Linked DNA regions of Struthio camelus. The protein of the gene in region 1 purifies or fractionates together with the protein of each later gene. This does not show direct contact. Links are inferred from orthologs where the notes say so. Each region holds a gene or a part of one and is shown in the gene's direction. Other genes may lie near its edges.

Region 1 (9,691 bases):
GCAAAGCATGTGGTGAAAATGCTTCTTTTCAGAGCAATGGAGTGGGAAGGCTTTGAAAATAAACTATAAATGCAAATATTCAGGAAGTCACCGGACTGAAAATCTGCAAGATCTAATCTCATGACAATCAAATGTTAATTTCTAATCATACATGATTTTAAGCAAAACACTTGGCATGAACTAGGTTGTACAGCATGTGTTCATACCTTTAGGATAAACATCTTCTGCCTCAAGTAGAGAACAAGAGAGTTTATAAAGAAGTTGATTTTTTCCACGAACAATCTGATATGTTTGCCAGCACACTCCATGGGGGAGAAAAGAAAATCACATGACAAATTATAATCTAAGATTAGTAAAACCAGGTGAAAGCTGAAAATTAACAAGAAACCAACTGAATGAGCAGTACACTTGAGTGGGGAGTGGAGGGTTTTTTTTGTGAGAACAGATTATTCCGGTTGAAAGCAACTCTCCATTTATGCTATAACCTATTTCAGAACAAGGTTTAAAAACAGATTCCCTCCCAGTTTTGTAGTATGTGCAAAAAGGCAGGGATATTGTGTTGCTTTTTTTATTGTGTTGCTCCTCCTTTAGGGGGAGTGTGGCTCTTTCACACAGATATATTGTCTTCACTTATTCTCTGATTTAAGGCTGTCAGAGGCCCTCCTCACTGGAGCACACAAGGCTAGGATTTTCAAAGTAACCTACACTTCCAGCTAAATGTCATTAATCACACACGTAATGCTTCAAAAACGGCTTAGCATTTGCAGATACCAGAACTGTACTCCCCCACTAACTTCCTTTGCTAAGACAGAACACGTTCTACCAAAGAAAGCATCACACCTGCACGCTCCTAAGCCTCACCTACAGAAAACTGTCCAGAGATAGAGCTCTTCTTTCACCAAAACACTGACACATTCCAGAATAACCCCAAAGGAATTGGAACTAAGCTGAACCTCTTCTTTGCTCCATCAGTGTGGCCATCTCAAATTTTATTTCAAGTGGAAATCAGGGAAAAATACATCCACCAAGAAATAAAAGAACAACCACTTTTAAGATAGCAAGGCCTCCAGAATGAGGCATACTGTGTTATATACAGACTGTTTGGACTGGGGCAGAAATCATTACAATTTATCAGCCTTTTTTAAAGCTATCTTCTACTCAGTGTTCTTTCATTATGGGACATGTATAACAAATATGTTCTATCAATTCACTAGAAAGGAAGCTTTGAGAGACATCCTTCTAGGCCGCTTAAACCTGAAATAACTTCTGACACGGACACTTCTAGTCTGCAATCAAGGCAAATTCTACTTTTATGCCCCTAAAAAGCCCACGTTTTTTGAGAGACATTTATACTAAAGGAAAGTTTCAAGCAGCTATTTAATCACAACTCAAGATTTATTTGGGAATGTGCTTGACTCAACTGCTAATTATTAATGCCATTTTTGTTTGGAAGTTGGCTCCTTCCCATTCCTACTTTTGGATCCTTCAGTGAAATCGTAAGGCTGAGCTGTGACGTCCTTTTCACTGCCACTGCAAGGCTGATGTCACAGAAACGGATATGTCAAAGGTACTGAAAAAGACACTTGGTCTGGGGTTTGCTTTAGCCATTCTTTAACTAGCACAACAAAGCCTGGCTACCAAAGGAGCAAGGCAGAGGGCAATACCTGGCTCAGCACAGATGAGAACCCTCACACTGACCTCTCTAGGTCTTCCGATTGCAGCTGAACAATTACAGATTTAAAAAATGCCCCTGAAAAAATTCTGGCATGCGCTTAACTTTACTACCAAAAGATGCTCTGGTCTCCACGGAACTGTTCACAGTACTAATGTTAAATACATGCCTCTATTTTTGCGTGATTAAAAAGGTAATCGCTAGCAAATCTGGAGTACTAAAAATGGTTCTGCCTAACTAAAAAAGGGACAAGAGTAGCAAGATACTAGAAAAAGAAACCCCAACCAAGTTTAGAGATTTGACTCCTCTTGCTAATATTTAACTATATAATAAAAACGTATATTCACTTTATGAAATTGCTTAGCCATTCCTCTAAACTTGGAAGTACAGTCCCTTAGCACTTCTGACATTAGAGCAGTTCCTGGGTCTTTCATACAGTTATACTACACTCCCTCAAAAAGCAGAAAACTAACCTAAAATTTTCCAACAGCCTACTTTTTTTCTATTTCATCTGCCCTTTCCAACTCATCCTGACATGCATAAAAATTGCTTATGACACTAATCAGCAGCTGACAGTGAAAAACCATTTGGGATTTTGATCGTATCAAGAGTGGAAGTATAAAGCACAGCATGTATGTACATTTAGTAAAATAATTTAGAGGTTTAGCAGAATAAAGCTACTAATTGAATGCATTAGGGAAAAATCCATGCTATGAGGCCCCACTCTTTCTGAACTACCAGAGCTAAAAACTTTTTGGCCAGGCCAGTAATATTTTCAAGCTCTGACGGTGGACCTTTGATGAAAGGAAAAAAAAATGTCAAGCTTTATGACTTCATGGCAAAGTTAAGCTGTAGAAGGTGGATCAGTGGATCATAAGGGAGAAAGGTCCCACTATAAACACTTAAAATAGTAACAGAAAGGCATAAAACTAAAAGACATCACTGGATATTGTTTTATGTTTACTGCAGCATGAAAACCCCTTTCTAAAACACAATAAAATTTGTAACAAAAAGTCCTCTACTTATTTTCTATAACGAGTGCTTGCATTATTTCATAGTCAAGGTTTTAAGCAGATGTATACACTTTTTTTTTTTTTAGTGAATGAATTAAAAACAAGAGGGAAACAAAACAGTACAAATTCACACAACTGTGTTTGTGTGCTTACAGGAAACTAACATCGCTTCTTCCACCCGTGAAAATGTAAACTGGATGAAATACTCCAGGGCAAAAGTGTGTGTTTTTGCTCTACATGAAAGAATAACCTAAGAGTCAAAAATAATATGCTGAGGGGAGAAAATACCAAATACTGTGCATGGTGTTCTTACTTATATTTTGAATCATGTAAAGAACCGTGAGGAACAAACTTGTAAGAACTTTTCATAACACACCTGCTTAACAAAGGAATAACAAAAAGAAAAGTAGAAGAAAATCCAGGACACTAAAGAGATTCTTACAAACTGGGTGCTTACACTGTACGTTGCTATTTGTCCTGCTTAAACTTCTCTAATTATCAAATATGAAACTGTACATGGGGATGGGGGAAAAATGTGTGATGACATTTGGGAAACAGTGCTTTCTTTGCCACCTTTTTTTTTTTTTTACACACTTCTGAGTTTGTTAACAAAACTTTTTAACAACTTTTCTGTTTTATGGGCAGACCTGCACCCAGGGGTAGCCTGTTTACTGTCAACGTAATGGAATGAGGATGGAGTTTGTAGACAAAGTAATGGATCCACATCCTATGTCTAGATGGCACCAAGGGTCAGAGTGGTATGACTTTTACTGAGGTATCTCAGTGCTACTTCACCAGGAAACGTCACAACAGACATATTTTGGAGTAAATTGTGTGCTTTTGTGACTTTTTTTTTAAACACTCACACTGGCAGGGTGCACAACTCTATATCAGTCAAGTCATTACAAAGGGGGAGAATTCTGCTTGGTTTGTACACACATTGTATTAACTCATTCCTTACATGAAACGTATCCTAAAGATGATCTCAGGACGTTTTTTGGTGCGGGGGAAAGAAACAAAAAGGTATAATTTAATTATTCAATAAAAGAGAATACTTACCAACCCAACCCTGCATCATAGGAAAAACAAAACTCCTTAGAGACAAAGGCATGCTAATGTATAAAAGCAGCTCTCTGTACCGCACACCTGCCTTCCAGGGGAGTGGGAAGGGGGCAAACCTCTCTTTTTTTTTCAGACAAACATATATGATTAAGCTGTTTATTTTTGTGCACTACACAATACTTTCTGGCTATAGGGTTTCCAATAAAAAAGTGCTAATAAAGTCTAATAAAGGAAACAGCTGAAGTTATGTTTTGGGGGGAGGGAGAAGGTGCTTTACATACATCTCTGAGGAAAAGAGGAAAGAGGGTTTCCTGGGGGATTTTAAACTTTTCAATACCTTGACATAATGGGACCACTTGAGATTCCAGCTGTGGAAGTGAGTCTTTCTATATAAAGGGGACGAGGGAGGGCAAACAAGGGTATCACTACTCAACACATCCCATACCATGCCAGTGCCTAGAAAGCTCCACATTGCAACCCCAGCGCCTTTCTGCCCAGGCCGCACTCCCTAATGCCCCAGCATAGCCAGGAAATTTTAAGAAGCAGCTGAAGACAAAGGGGACATTAATGAGGCCAGTGCTGCCCAAGAGAATAACGTCATTAAAGACCTCATTAAGGACCCCAGAAAGCCTTCCCCTGACCCTGCCCAGCAAGTGGGGACCCATCCCCTCGCAGCCACCCCCAGCCCAGGCTCCCTGCTCCGGCCCTCAGCCCCAACTGGGCCTGCTGCCCACCAGCCCCTGGCCTGCTCCCTCATCACGCCCCGCTGCCTGGGGCCCCCCGGCCCTGCGCTGCCCCCGGCCCCGCGCCCCCACCGGGCCCCTGCCTGAGCCCCTTCCCCTGGCTCTTCCCAGCCTCGGCCCCCTCCCCCCGGCCGCCTGGCTCTTCCCAGACCCGCTCCCCCCCCCCAAACCCCCTGGCTCTTCCCAGATCCTCTCCCCCCCGGCCCCTTCGCTGTTCCCAGGCCCTGCCCCCCCCCGCCCAGACCCCCGGCTGTTCCTAGGCCCTGCCACCACCCCCCCAAGTCCCCCGGCTGTTCCCAGCGCTGCGCTCCCCCCCCCCCCAGCTCGCTGCCTGGCCCCAGCCCTCGCTCTCGCCCCTCTCCTCCTCCTCGGCCCGGGCCCTGGGGACCCCCCGAGCGCTCCTGCACACTCTCGCCCCCAGCCCTGCGCCCCCCGGCCGGGCCTACCCCCCTGCCCGCCTCGGGCCTGCACCCCGCTAAGCCCTGGCTCCCCCGCTCACCTCAGACCCTGTCCCCCCGCCCGGGCCGGTGGCTCTCGGGCCCCGAGGACCCCCCCGCCCCGGCTGGCCCCCCACCTCCTCCCGGTCGCCCGCGGCCCGTCCCTGCCCGCCCCCCCCCAAACCTGGTCCGGCGAGCCGGACAGACAGACACAGACAGACAGAGAGGCTCTCGGGAGAGGCGGTTACTGGACCTTTCGTCCGGGCCGTGGTGGAGTTGGAGCGGCGGCGGCGGCCGGGGGAGGCTGCAGCTGCCGCTGTCGTGGTGGTGGCAGGACGGAGATGGGGGGGTGGAGTGCGGGCTGGGGGGGGAGGCGGCGGCGGCGGGGGGGACACTCGGGCTCTCCACGGCCATGGGCGGGGGGGGAGAGGGGGGAGCACACGGGGCACAGTCACTGTACAGAGCGGGGGTCGGCACGGCCCGGCTTTCCGCCTGCCCCGCACTCCACGGGAAGGCACACAAAATGGCGCCCGCCGGCACGCAGCCGCGCCGAGGCAGCGCCCCACACGGCCGCCGGAAAGGCCCGAGCGCCGCCGGAAAGGCCCGAGCGCCGCCGAACGCCCTCCCCCCTCCCCCTTCGCCGCGGCACGCACGGCCGGACGCGGAAGCAGCCGGAGGTTGCCGAAGGATGGCGGAAGCGGCCGAGCCGAAGCGCCGAGGGGCAGCGGGAGGAGGCGGAACTTTCCGAACGCAGCCGAGCGCTGGCGGAAAGTGCCGAAGAGGTCGGGCAGAACCAAGTGCACCGCGGCGGGAGGGGGGGGAGCTGCGCGAGTGAGCGCGCGAGAGGCGGCGCCGAGGCCGAGCGCGGCGGCCGCCCCCCCCGCGCAGGGGGCCGCTGAGGCGGGACGAGCCCTCGGAGCGGCTCTCTGGCGGGGGGGGATACGGGCGGGGCGCGGGGCGGCGGGGGCCGCTCGGCCCGGGGCGCTTCCCCCCCTCCCCTCCCGGCGCGCCGCGGTGCCGGGCGCCGCGCAGCGCCCGCGCGGGCCGCCAGGGGGCGCCGCCCGGGCGCGGCGGCCGTGAGGCGGCGGCGGCGGGATGGTGGAGAAGGAGGAGGGCGGCCCCGGCGGCATCAGCGAGGAGGAGGCGGCGCAGTATGACCGGCAGATCCGGCTCTGGGGGCTCGAGGCCCAGAAGCGGTCAGCGAGGCGGGGGGCGGCTCGGGGGAGGCTGTAGGGGCCTGCGGGCGGGGGGGCCCTTGTAGGTGTCGGGGGTCCCTCAGCGCTTGGGGGGGGGCGGCGGCATTTGGGGGGGCTGTATTGATTTGGAGGGGCGCTGAATGGGTTTGGGGGGGCTACAGCGTTTTGGAGGCCCCTGCAGCATTTTGGGAGGCTCTGTGGGGGTTTGGGGGCTCTACAGCGGTTTGGGGGGCCCTGCGTGGGTTGATGGGGGCCTTGCAGTATTTGGGGGGGCTCTGCAGGGGTTTGGGGGACTCTACAGTGTTTGAGGAGGCCCTGTAGTGGCTTGGGGGGGCTTGTATGGGTTAAGTGGTCCTCACAGTGTGTGGTAGGGGCCTGTAGGGGCTTGGGGGGGACCCTAATGCAGTGACCGCAGTTACTGTGGGGTATCTGCAGGAGGTTTGCAGGGGCTTGAGAAGGGTCTGTATAGCTGGTGGTGTGTATGGGGGCATGCGAGGTCTATAGGAGCCTGTGGAGGTCTAGAAGGTCTCTAGAAGTCTCAGGGCTCTGGGGAGCTGAAGAAGGAGGAGATGGGGTTGGGACAGTAGGAGATGGGGGAGGCAAGGCTTGGGGCACCTGGGAGAGGGGTTTGGGGAAATGGGGGCCCCAGGAAGGAAGCTGCCAGTTTGGGAGGCAGTGGCTGGTGTTGCAGGGGGTGGCAGGGTAGCATACGGGGTGGGAAAGTGGGAGGAGGTGCTCAGGGAGATGGTGGCAGAAGGGCAGGAGAAAAACCCTGTGGTGGCCCGGCGTGAGATGTCGATCTTTGTGCTGCTGCTGGCACCCTGAGAGAAGTTTTAAACCTCGTCTGTGGAAATCCTGGGCAGTTGCCCTGCTTGTGCACGCATCACACATGTAGGACAGTGTTGACAGAGATGTGGGAGCCCTGGCTAGCAGCTGCCTGGGAGACTGCTTGGTTCTCCAGCCACACACAGTCGCTGTGCAGCAGGCTGGTGAGAGCTGTAAGCTGTACCCCTTTGTGTGTCCCTAGTTCCTCACAGTTCCTGCACAGTTCAGGCTGGAAAATCTTACCCAAACTGGAGCCCAGTGATAATGCACGTTTGGTGAAAATCGTGCCTCCTTAGGTTGAAGATAACAAAAATATTGACCGTATCTACAAGAGAGTCTGATCCACTACTTAGTTTCTATTGTTAAAGTCTTCTCATTCATTCCCAGCTGGGATTGCCGAGCATCTGCTTCCACCTGCTGGTTCTCTGCTAAAGAGCCTCTTATTCAGCCCATATCTTCTCTGTGAGGCCTCTTCAGCTTTCAAGTTATCTTTGCAGCCCTTTACTGCAGCCTGTCCAGGTTTCTGCCAGCTTTAAATTTCTTAGATGTTACCTTGAAAATAGCAATAGTATGTGTATGGGAGAAGATGGAGCGGACCTGAAATAGGGGCACAAATATAATGGTGCTGCTAGATGCAGAGTGAAAGCAAGCATGGAAATAGACCGTGAGGCCAAAAAGCACCCATCAGTGACCTCCTGACTTAACTGACCTACATGATAGAGCCACTCTATTTAACACTCTGGATGATTACTTATTAAGGTAGTCTAAATAAACTTGATTTTGTTAGAAAAACAATGCAACCTAGTCAATCAAAAGAATGCTAAGGAAAAAATTATTTAAATTGATTTTAAAAAGCAAGGAAAGTCAGCATTCAGCTATTCTGAGAACTTAGAAATTGCATACATTAACTTGGTCTCATAATAAATATTTGCAAAGAAATAATTTCCATTAATTATATCATGCTATTAATTTTATATATATCCCAATCAGTTGGCATGTAACCCAGTGCACCTTCAGTGGGTGAGGTTGAGGTCCAGGCCTCAGCTGGACTATTAGAATTTGCTATTAGGAACCTCAAACTGTGGTGTTGTAGTGAACCTGTGAGTCCACCCCTTGTTCTCTGAAAAGCAATACGAGGCCTTATCAGTGCATACTGATTTTAGTCTCTCTTTCAAAGCTGCAAATAATCTATTTTCTGTGAATTATCTGGATTACTGACGCCCAACAGCTCCCATCTCTCTTCCTTTTCTTCCGTATCAGGTATCGTGGTTAAATCTATACCTCTACTCTTTTCCCTGATGCTGCTGTGAAACTTTCAGGTCCTGCCAGACATGTTTGGCTCTCCTGTAATGATCCTGGGCTTCTCCCATTTTGCCTGGGCCAAGTGAATATTTGGCTGTAGCTCAACTTTCCCCACGGTTCAGGACTTCTGTGAATGCCCAGCATGCATATCTGCCTCCTTAGTTAAGTTTTCCCAACTGGGAGGTGATGGTGATTTCGGAGGCAGTGGTTCCATCCCTGGTGGCAGGGATGCTACTTTACTAGCGCAGCTTTCCTCTTTGGTCATTGAATGTATTTTTCACCCTGTTGTGTTTTGTCCGTGAGCACTGTGGTTGATTCCCCTTCTCCCTGGGGACGTGGTGCTCCAGTGAAGCCGTTAACGGTGACCAAGTGTTTCCACTGCAGGTTACGAGCTTCCCGGGTGTTGCTGGTGGGGATGAAAGGCCTTGGAGCAGAAGTGGCAAAGAATCTCATCCTGGCAGGTGTCAAAGGCCTGACCATGCTGGACCATCAGCAGGTGGGAGCTTCAGGCTTCTCTCTTCCTTGTGGCTGCAGTGCTGGCCAGTGGGGGGTGAGGGGATGGTTAGCAAAGCTCCCAAAGCCTACTGGGGACTGGTAGGTGTGTGGAGGGGGTAGGGTGTCTGAGCTCGAGGACTTCTTCATTGCTTACTGGAGTAGGGGTTTTGTGGTGGGGGTGTGTGTATGTGTATGTCTTTGGGGAGGGGGTATAGGGGGCATGTAGTGTCTGTAGAGAGAAATCCCATACCCGTGCACTTTTAGTCATTGGTGCGCCTCCTTATGACAAGCATGGAATTAAATTTGAGAGAGGCATAAGCAGACTGTACTCATCTGCACTCTGTCAAGCTGAGGGCTGAGCTGCAGGCTCCCCAGTTTCTCCCCTGCTATCTTGCCTGCAGACATGTGGCTGTGTACCCTGATCTGAGAAGCCTGTTCTCATAGTCTCGCGCTTATTTCTGGGAGTGTGTGGCCTTTCTCTAGCAGGTCTCCACCCAGGCCTCTCCCCTCTATCTTGGTCTGAACAGCCCCTTTCTGTGTTTATCTAGGGCTTTGCAGGTGTTTAACAGACTGTAACAGTGTGTGAAAAGCAGCTAGGGCTCCGCTCGTGCCTCGGATCGTGCCTCGGATCGCATGGAACCCGGGCCTCTAAATAGAGTCTGTGGTTGAGCGTTTAGTCTGCCTCTGTCAAATGTGCAGCAGGTTTCTATTCGTGGTCCAGAGCCTTGTGCCCTGCAGTTCACTCTGCTGTCACAGGAGATGGGAGGCCCAGGGATGACTGAAATTGGTAGGTGCCGCACAGCGTACGAAACCCTCCTCTGCGTTTGGAAGAGGCGCAGGCAAGGATGTGTAAGGTGCTCAGGGAGCCTTCAGCAGGGTTTGAGGGATGAGCATTTGAGGGATTTTGTATGCATAGTGTTTCTGGTGCGAGTTTGTGGCAGTACTG
Region 2 (9,601 bases), on another chromosome or scaffold:
TAGTCTTGACTCATGCACAGAGAGTGTAGTGGTCTCTGACTTCAGGGGCGGGGGGCCTGCAGGGGAAAGCTAGAAACCCTTTCTCCATCTCTAACTGCTGCCTGCTGCAGAGCCAGGTTGGGTAGAAGAACGCAGAGGGGTTTCTGACTGGGCTGGCTTCTGTGGTGTGAGGCAGAGCAGGCAAAGCTGTACCCGAAGGAGGACTTCGTGGAGAGACACCTACACTTGGAAATGGAAGAGCCACGCTCCACTGCTGTCTTGCCATGCCAAGGCTTTGTCTTGCTGCAGCCTGGCTGCAGAATTTGCATCCTGAAATCTCTCCCCTTCTGGCTGTGTTCTTCCTCAAAGGTGTCGGGGCTGGGAAAGCGGCCAGCAGAGTGGCTTGGTGACAGAGGTTTGTTACTGTGGCTCAAAGTCAGGCTTGTGTTCCTTGCTCTGTTCTCTGCCATTCTGTGGGAATATGTGAGCGGGGAATTGCTTCTAAGAATGGCTTTAATTTGACTTGTGATGGGTTTGGACCTTTCGCTTCCACGTCCAGTCCAACAGATAGAGCATGCAGAAGGGACTCTCTGAAAGAACAGTAGTGCTGCTTTACATGGACTGCTATGAAAGGAGCTGGCCATCAGGCAGAACTTCCTAATGGATCTCTGCTGTGCAGAGAAGGAGAACAAAATGTGTTGGATACAGCTGACTGCATGCAAAGCTCTTCACAGCTCAAATAACAGGTTTGGCCTCTCAGAAGGGCACCAGTACGTGCAGCCTTAAAAGACAGGAGGTTAGATGATAACAATTCTTTGTTATTTGTGCTGGAAGAACTAGACTTGCTGCTGATGGGAATGGAGCGCCTAGTAAGCTCCTGGATGTCTGAATGAATCTCTCTTCTCTTCTAGGCCTGTTTAAGGAAGAGAACCCTTATGCAAAATTTGAGAATTAACAACATCCCCTGATCTGCCCAGCACAGATGAACAGTGCCCTCCTGCATAGAGCCACAAGGACTCTGGATTTCACCTACCAAAAGCAAATCACTGTGATGCCACTTCCTGCTTCCCTTGCCACAAAAGATGCACCAAATGCTCAGTGACACCGTTATCCCCGCTCTGGATACTCAGTTTGCTCCAGTGCTTTGCTGTAGTAGTAAGAGCAAACTGAGAAAATGAGCCTTGCTCTTTTTTCCATTGCAGTGTCTGGAGTACCCTCTGAAGACTTGCTCTGTTTGTGCAGGGGCAATATTGGAGAACTAAACACATGAATATTTCTTCTCACTCACCCCTGGGGTGCTAATTTAGTCCAAAACAATGCAAATAACTGTCCTTGTCCCCTGCCAAGGGCAGAAACAACCTTGTGCTTCTTCCTTGCTCCTTCCTCACTAAGTATCTGCTCACATTGAGTGAGACTCTCCCTCTTCCCTCCCCCTGGTGTAGGTGAGAGCTAGCAAGGGTTACTTGACCTGTTGGTCAGAACAAGGCCTTAGCTGTCACTCCAAGTGCCTGTACTTGTCTGTGCACGTTAGCGTTCCTTTCAAAAAGCACAAACTTGTGATTATCTTGGGCCTTCATGAGAAGACCCCGCTTGCACATTCTCACTTAGAGCTAATCTGGGGAAACTCTACAACTCTTCTACCTCTCTGTGCCTTTCCAGATCTTCTCTTGGGCTTCTGACAGCCAAGGCCGATAGCAATACTGTAGGGTTCGGATGCAATTGCAATATGTTGGCTGTGTATTAAATTGATTTGATTACTACTCAAGTCTGAAAGAATTTAATTCTGCTTCCACGTGAAGTATAGCTTGGCAGACGCTGCTGATAACTATTCAACAGAGTCTTCACTGTGTTACACTGCCCTGGCTAGGGCAGTCTTGCCCTGCTAAGCTGGCTGATGGAGTGCAGTAACAGAGTCCAGTTTCTTGGACTTGGTTCTCTGGGTCTGAAACTAGAAGTCAGTCGGTTCCAGATGTATGTTAGGAGTGTCCTGGAAAAGTCAGGTGGTGGGAGGATGAGCTGCTTGCTATGAAATGAGTTAGGTCTTTCTGAGAGAGCTTGAACTGTGTCTCATAACACACTGCTGGCTGGAGTAAGCTGGGAAAATGTTCAGATCCTCCCCTCTCTCCTGAGGCTTGCCTAAAATGCTTGATTTGAATTACTGAACTTACGGCCCTCTGGTCTTGCGGGACACAGTTTGAGCTGAACTCTGGACTTGTTAAACTAAACCATCCGTGAAACCATACTTTTCCTGAGCTGTGCTGTGATTGCACAGAGCTCTTCAGTAGGTGCAAGAATCTGACTTGCTTTTGCCAGGACTGGACAAAGATGTAAGACTTGCAGGTAACTTTTAATCTAGTCTGTCTTTGTGTCTGTTGCCAAAAGATACTCTGCTTCAGATGATGGAAACAGTACGTGAATGACTCGGCCAGTGCTGAATGAATCTTGGTATGTGAGCTGAGTTCTTGTTACTGTGAACTAGGCTTCAGAGAGCAGCACCAGAAGAAGGAGGGCTACAAAGAGTAGAGTTGGGGTTGCCCCGCTCTTACGGGTGCTTTCTCTTCATGTTCTGTCCTAGTCCATTGGATTGGCTGGGTATGAGGCAGCGGGTGCCATGGCTGATGGCTGCTCTGTCCTGGGGGTGATGCAGGCGGTTTTCCCAGTCTTGCCCTTGGTGGGGCTGCAAGGCTCCTGTTTGCTCAGTTCATCTTGGCCAAGCTTGGGAGAGTTCAAGAGCCATAAGTCCTCTAAGAGCTGAGGAGGGAGGAGGTGACAGGAAAGTGTATCCAACTGTGCATGTGTGGGAAATAATGCCTTAAGAAATCCTCTCATGCCCTGCACTTGATTTGAGAACTCCTTGTACAACCTGTCTCATGCTCATGGAAACCCTAAGCATGGGGTCTGGCAAGGGCAAGTGAAACAGTTATGAAGATCCTGGTTGTCACTTGTATTTAATTGGGTATGCTGGTCTGGAGAGGCTTTGGTCCCCCAGCATACAGAGGGGTCCAGTTGGTGCTTTCTTTAGTAAAGAGCAATATATGGAAGCAGCTGATGCTGAGCTGTAGGGCTGTGTTAGCGCTGCAGGTATTGAGTCCAGGGTTTATACGTCCTGCCTTTACCTCTCACAGGTTGTGATGGGCTGTGTCCCGTCCCACTGAGCCAAGCAGTCCCTGCTGGGTTGGGTGGGTGGGAGGCAGGTGAGACCCCTGAGGACTGGGACTAGTATAATCCCTGTTGATCTGCAGTGAAGTGGGGCCTTCTGGGCTACCCGAGCGCTTCCACTGATGCTGCCCCCCTCCCTCCTGATTCCTGGCACCCAACAGTAGTGCCTCTGAAAACAGCCGGGTTAGAGAGAGGAGCCTGGCTACAGGGATCCTCCAGGTATGGAGTCCTCTACCCAGGCATCATTACCTGCTCTGTCCTTGTCTGCTCCTGTCTGCACAGGGAACTGCCCTGCACAGGGAGCCGCTTCCCTGCATGGATGAAGCATAACTGCTTTCTACAGTTCACATGTGTTGACGAGCAGATGGCCTGACCTCCTGCCAGGAGAGCTCTGGTCATCAGTGTCCTGTCTGACTGCAGCTGGGCAGAAGCACTGCATCCTCTGTGCTTGTTCTGGGCTCCAGCCTCTCACTCAGAGGTGCTCTCGCTCTCGCTCTCTCTAATAGCCTGTGATGGAGCTCCAGTTAATTTTTTGATTTGTTCTTGTGATTGTTGCTGTGTGGATGTATCACATGGCTGACATGAGGCTGAGAAGCTGGCAACCCCTTTGACTCAGATGGTTGAAGGTGAAGAGGTGAAGCTGGGCTGCTCTGGGCCGCCTGCCCAGGTCTGGAGGAGGAAATTTGCCTGTACGCACGCCCGTACGGGAACCGCCCTGGCAGGAGCATGTGAATTGTCAGCTGGATGTGGGGAGGGGATCGGGGCAGGCTTCAGTCAGTTTGCGCTCCTAAGCAAAACCAAAACCCTCTTCTTGGCTTCAAAGCCACTGGAAGACAAAACACCCCTCTTGGTCCCCTTTGCCTCTGTAAAGGAGAGGGAACTAGCAGAATGGGATCTGTTTGTCTGGGGAAAAAACGTCTCCTAAATGTGGTGCTTTACAAATAGGGAATGCAAAGTTGAGGCTGCAGAGTGGAGCCAGCTGTCTGGGAAGGAGCCTTCATGAGGATTAATGAGTCCCTGCAGAGAGGCCTCTGCATGCTGGTGGGGCTTGCCGTGCTCTGGGGCTGGGGGGGGACATCAGCGCAGAGGGGGAAAGCAGTTTGGTGAGCGGCGTATCTGATGAGTGAGAGCTCGCTTCGCTGAGCGCAGCCTGCCTGGCCAAGGATGACGTGCGCTTGGGGAACGCGTTGGGGGGGCGGGGGGGAAACAGAGGAGGAACAGATTAAAAGGGTGCAAAGGGCAACTTGGCTCTGAGCCAGGGGATGGTCATACCTGTGCAGTGGTGCAACTGCTGCCTACAGGACTGCCCCGCATCAGGAAACGCGCAGGATGGAGCTGGTGCCGGGCTGAGGGGCAGGGCAGGGCAGAGCGGGCAGCTGCGGCCGGCAAACAAAGGGCTGCCCTGGAAGGGATGGGCGCTCTTTCATAGGAGAGGTGGGTACTGGAAGGGACAACCGACTTCCTGAAAGTAATTAAAATACCCAGATAAAATCTGGGCTGCAGGTGAACTCCAGCTCTGTGAGCAGTGACGCGCGGGGCCGGCCAACAGCGCCGCTTCCCCCCCGCTCCGTGTCACCTGGGCTGTGGACAGCAGGCACCGCCCGAGAGGCTGGAAAGGGTCCTTCTCCGCGCACACAACCGCTGCGGGGCCGGGGCATGCTCTTCCTCCTTCCATCCCCGCTGACCCTGGGGGAACCCGCCCGCCCTGCGGCCCTCCGGGGCGGGCAGGGCACAAGGCGGGATCCCCCCCCCCCCCAAAGCCTGGGGCTGAGCTCCGGCCCACTCCAAAACCGCGTCTGTGTGGCACCGCGGGGCGCCCCCCCCCCCCCCTCCGCCGCCTCAGCGCGGCCCCGAGGCGCGACCGGCCCAGCCGCGCCCGCCCCGCCCTTCCGGCGCCCCGTGACGCACTTTCCAGAGCCGCCTCGGGCCGGGCGCGCGCGCGCGCCGCCGCCTTCCCCCCTCCCCGCCCGCCGAGGGGGCAGCGTCCTCCCGGCGCGCGCGCGCGCGCGCGCCCATCGCCTCCCACGTGACCCCGCGCGGCGGCCAATCGGCGCCCGGGGCTGCTGGCGGCGGCGGCGGCGGGGGGTGGGGGGGGGGTGAGGTGGGGCGCGCGCGCGCGTGCGCGCGCTCTCGCGGGCGGTTGGCGGCGGCGGCCGGCGGGAGCCGAGCGCGCGGGCCGTTCCCCTCAGCGCGCGGGCGCGCGCGCGCCGCCTTCCCCTCCCTTCCCTTCCCCCCGTCCCGTCCCGTCCCGTCCCGTCCCGTCCCCGCCGCCATGTCGGAGGAGAAGCCCAAGGTGAGGCGCGGCGGACCTGGCTTCCCCTCCGCTGTCCCGGTGGGCCGCGGCCGGGCGAGGCCTGAGGCGGCCGGAGGGGGGAGGCCTTCTTCGGCGGGGGCTGCCAGGATGGCGGGGCAGGGTGTCCCGGTGAGGGCGACGCTGCCCCGCCCCGCCCCCGTGACCGGTCCCCCCACGCGTACACCCGGGGTGGCGTGAGGGGGCCAAGATGGAGGGCTGAGCGGGGGGAGGGGGCGGGGAAGTGGGGTCCTGCGGAAGTCCCTTGAACTTCGCCGCTGAGTGGAAACTGCAAAATCGGGGGCTTTCCTGAGGAAAATTGTTCGGTAGTACGGTCGTTCTTATCTGTGCAATGCTAGGAGCGTGCAGAGTTCGTAAACAGGGAAAAAGTGAAGGGAACGTGAGTGGAGTTTGTACGGCTGCATGTCTCTGCAGTTCATTTTCAGGGGGCATCCAGGTAACAGAAATGACCTCTGTTACCTACAGAGGTATGTAGGTGTGCTGGGATTTGCTCCGTGAAGTTTTTTGCTTTTCCCCTATTACCTGAAATGATGACTGCAAAACCGTGCAGGTTTTTTTTTTTTTTTAACCCCCCCCCCCTCTGTGTGCTGTGGAGAGCATCCTCCCTTTATAAACAGGAAGAAAAGCTTCTGGTGGTTGAGAGCTTTGTTACTGTTTGTAATGGAGCCTTTAGATCACTTTTATTCAAAGCAGTGCTCACTGTGTTCTGCCTTTTTGTCTGTTTTTGTTCAGGAAGGAGTGAAAACAGAGAATGATCACATCAATTTAAAAGTTGCTGGCCAGGATGGTTCTGTGGTCCAGTTCAAAATAAAAAGGCACACACCTTTAAGCAAGCTGATGAAGGCTTATTGCGAGAGGCAGGTATGTACATCAAACACTGCTTTTGCAGGTTATGGTCCGGTTCTGCAGAGGGTTCTTCATGCTGCTTGGGACTCTTATCATTTCATAAGGAAGAGCCCTTGGCAGTATGGAAATTCCACTGTTTTTCTTTCTGGAACATTATAAACATCAATGCATCAGAGAGTGAATATGCCTGTTTGTACAGAAGCGCAAGAGAGTAAAGATTTAGGATGCTAAGTCCAGACTCCTAAACTTAACCGACAAAAAAGATTTTAACGCTAGAGTTGATGAAAGTCGCCCCTTCCTCGCTGTGTGCTTCTGGATTTCTAAAATCTTCCCATGACGATACCAGGAGTCAGAATTTCTTGAGTTCCGATCTTAGCTCAGACTGATTTTCTGTGGGAGAGTAGGAATCTTTAGCTTCCTAACCCACAGTTTTATTATCTGTAAAATCTTTATTGACTTTATACAGTATGTATATGTATTTTCCGTTTGGAAAATGGCAGGAAAACAAATTGTAACATGCTGTGACGTTTTTTGTTTACAAATTTTTTTCTCCTCCCTTCACCTACCTTCCCTTGCATGCTCCACAGCTTTGATTGCTGTACTCTACAGGTGGCAGGAAGCTGCTTTGTGTAGGAGACTATTCTTTGGTGCTGTCCCCATTTATATGGAAGTGTGATTTACCCTGATAGCCTGCTTCTCGAGTCTGTAGTTCTGAATGTTTGAACTACTTCTACACCGTATTAGGTGGCACAGAAAATGAAAGCCGTTCGCGTTCCTACCCTTCCTGAAGTGGAGTGAAATTTTGTTTGCAGGCATCGCCGTATCTAATATATGTGGGATCCTTTCTTTGCTCACCTGAGTTGTATGTTCTGCCCTCTCATGCTTGATGGAGCAAAATGCCACTCAGGTTGGGAACAAGAGCTACATACAGTATCATCTTGAGAGATGCATGAGGAATTTTTGCATCTGTGCGATGGTGGTATGCGTGATTGGAAACATGTCTGAGTAGCACAGGGTTTTCAAAGGATTTTAGAGGTCAAAACAAAGACGTAGATCACTGAGGCAGGGAATAAAGACTGTATCATGTAATTCAACGCTGTCATAACATGATTCCCTTGTGAATTCAATGAAGATTTTAAAGGCAGCGTTAACCCACTGAGTTAAGTCTAACACTTAAAAGCCCTGGTGTTTTTTCTAATGACTTTTCTAAGTAAAGATCTGCATAAAGGCCTGCAAATTTTTTTCCCCTCAGACAATCTTTGCTTCATGTTTCCTTTTCTTTATCAGAAGATTAAAGAACTAGAGTTGGGAGAGGATGCCTGGCACGAATCAAAGTCTTGCGACTTAAATATGGGTAGTCAGTGTTGGTAGTTAGTTGCCCAAAAAGGTAGCTATTACAGTTTTTTGGCAGCATTTTCTGTCAGATAAGCTTAAAATACTGTTACTTCTCTGACTGTGTAAGAAACAATTGTCCTTCTTTTCTGTCCTGTCTTTTGAGACTTTCTAGAATTGTGTTCTGGTTGATCTCTTCTATATACTTCCTGTTGATATTTTTTTTTCCTTCGCTTTACTCTTTCTTCCTTTCTGCCGTTCTTGAACTTAAATGTTGCTTTTTTGCTTGTCAATGACTTTTTGATATTTGTAGTTTGCAGAGCAGGGGGTACTAGAATTTAGATCCGAACCAGGTGCCAAACAAACACCTGTTATTTCATATAGTGCCCTTGCTGTGGCAATAGCTGCCTTGGGAAATCAATCTAAATAGCTCTACTATTATCTAAATAGCTCTGCTTCCGTAATTTGTGTAATAAGATAGAGGAGTAAGTTTCCTGTCTATTTAAATCTTTTGAGTCTTAATTTTGTTAGTATCTGACAGTAGGTGAGTAAATGTTATGTTTGGATTCAACAATTAATGAGACACCACATTTTTGTTACTGTAAACTTGCAGGGCTTGTCAATGAGGCAGATTAGATTCAGATTTGATGGACAACCAATTAATGAAGCTGACACACCTGCACAGGTATGACCAAAAAACCTTCAGTTTTATTGCAGATTGCTATAAAAATGTTTTGATTGTCTGCGCATAGATCAAAGTATTTCAGAGTCATTTTGATTGCAAAACTGTTGTCATAAGCTTAATACATTCCAAATAGTTGCTCTAGGCTGGCATATTTTTTCCTTTGAATCTTTTCACTACTGGTGGTGGCGGCATTGGTGCTGAAATAGCCGGCACCTGAGTAGTGCTGGGACTCTGTCTTCCTACTTCTGCTTCAGCGTGATTTGAGCAATTATTGCCCCTAAAGGCTGCTGTTGCTGTCAGCACTGGTAATGCTGAGAACTTGGGGAATTTCTTGCATTGACAAGGCCTGCAGCAAGAATAGAAGAAATACACTTGGCTGAGGAGCTTTGCTGTAAAAGATGCTAAATTGTTGAGTTTGGTCTCATCAACAAGTGTGCTTCTAAAACCTGTCTCAGTCTTGGTGATACTCTGATAAAGACAGAGGAGGTTATGGGATTATATTCTGCATGCAGCTGGCTGAAGTGTGGCCTTGGACTGTTTGCCAAAAGTGCTTAGCTTTCCTGACTTAAAGAGGTGATGCCCTCTCTGGAGTGAGTGATGGAAAAGGTTTCATACAGTGTTAAAATGGCACTCTAATTGCTTAATTATTGACACTGTTTAAGAATAGAGAACTGAGTGCTTTTGTAACTATATAGCTGTATATTTCAAGTTTTCAACTTTGTATATTAATCTAACAGCTGGAGATGGAAGATGAAGACACTATTGATGTGTTTCAACAGCAGACGGGTGGAGTGTGTTAAGAAATGCCGTCCTTTTGAGAAGAGGAATTTAAGGATCCTTATCAGACCTCACTCCCTCATCTGTCCTTGGATTTGCTATTAAATAGTAAACAAATGAACATGCCAATCACACAGGATTCTTCTCAAACTTAAGAGGACATTTACCAGAATTGCTTTCTTGTCTTTGACGTACTGCGTGTGCAAGTCAAAACGTTATCTGCAGGGATATCTTAAATTGGGCCAATTTGAGTTAAGTTCAGATGAAGTAATATGCGTTGTCTACCTGCTGTTATCTTTTTTCTTTACACCTGTGGCCTAAATATTCATCCATGTTTTAGGACGTGGAGTGTTCGTTCCTGGCTCTTGTTGTTCTTGCCCCACAAATCATGTAAATAATTCAACATATTTTCATGCCAATCATGAGCTTAAAAGTTTCCTCTTAAAATAGGGCTAAGAGGAAGAAAAGAGAGGCTGACTTAAAATTTTTAGTATGTATTGCCAACACAGTTA

Evidence for each region. The genes of interacting proteins can lie anywhere in the genome.
Region 2: the proteins of SAE1 (region 1) and SUMO3 purify together in Homo sapiens (affinity purification with mass spectrometry; 3 studies listed by BioGRID and IntAct, with this or other methods). This does not show direct contact. The link is inferred for Struthio camelus from reciprocal best matches to the Homo sapiens genes SAE1 and SUMO3.

The regions. Positions count from the first base shown.
Region 1 is NC_090957.1:306,223-315,913, reverse strand, and holds the start of SAE1 (SUMO-activating enzyme subunit 1), read left to right. Parts: upstream 1-5,950; 5' UTR 5,951-6,022; coding exon 6,023-6,123; intron 6,124-8,634; coding exon 8,635-8,746; intron 8,747-9,691. Other genes in the region: ZC3H4 (zinc finger CCCH domain-containing protein 4), read right to left, coding at 5,181-5,341. UniProt on the Homo sapiens protein: The heterodimer acts as an E1 ligase for SUMO1, SUMO2, SUMO3, and probably SUMO4. It mediates ATP-dependent activation of SUMO proteins followed by formation of a thioester bond between a SUMO protein and a conserved active site cysteine residue on UBA2/SAE2.
Region 2 is NC_090950.1:3,427,181-3,436,781, reverse strand, and holds the start of SUMO3 (small ubiquitin-related modifier 3), read left to right. Parts: upstream 1-5,237; 5' UTR 5,238-5,410; coding exon 5,411-5,431; intron 5,432-6,181; coding exon 6,182-6,310; intron 6,311-8,240; coding exon 8,241-8,312; intron 8,313-9,049; coding exon 9,050-9,112; 3' UTR 9,113-9,601. Other genes in the region: PTTG1IP (pituitary tumor-transforming gene 1 protein-interacting protein), read left to right, coding at 891-934. UniProt on the Homo sapiens protein: Ubiquitin-like protein which can be covalently attached to target lysines either as a monomer or as a lysine-linked polymer. Does not seem to be involved in protein degradation and may function as an antagonist of ubiquitin in the degradation process.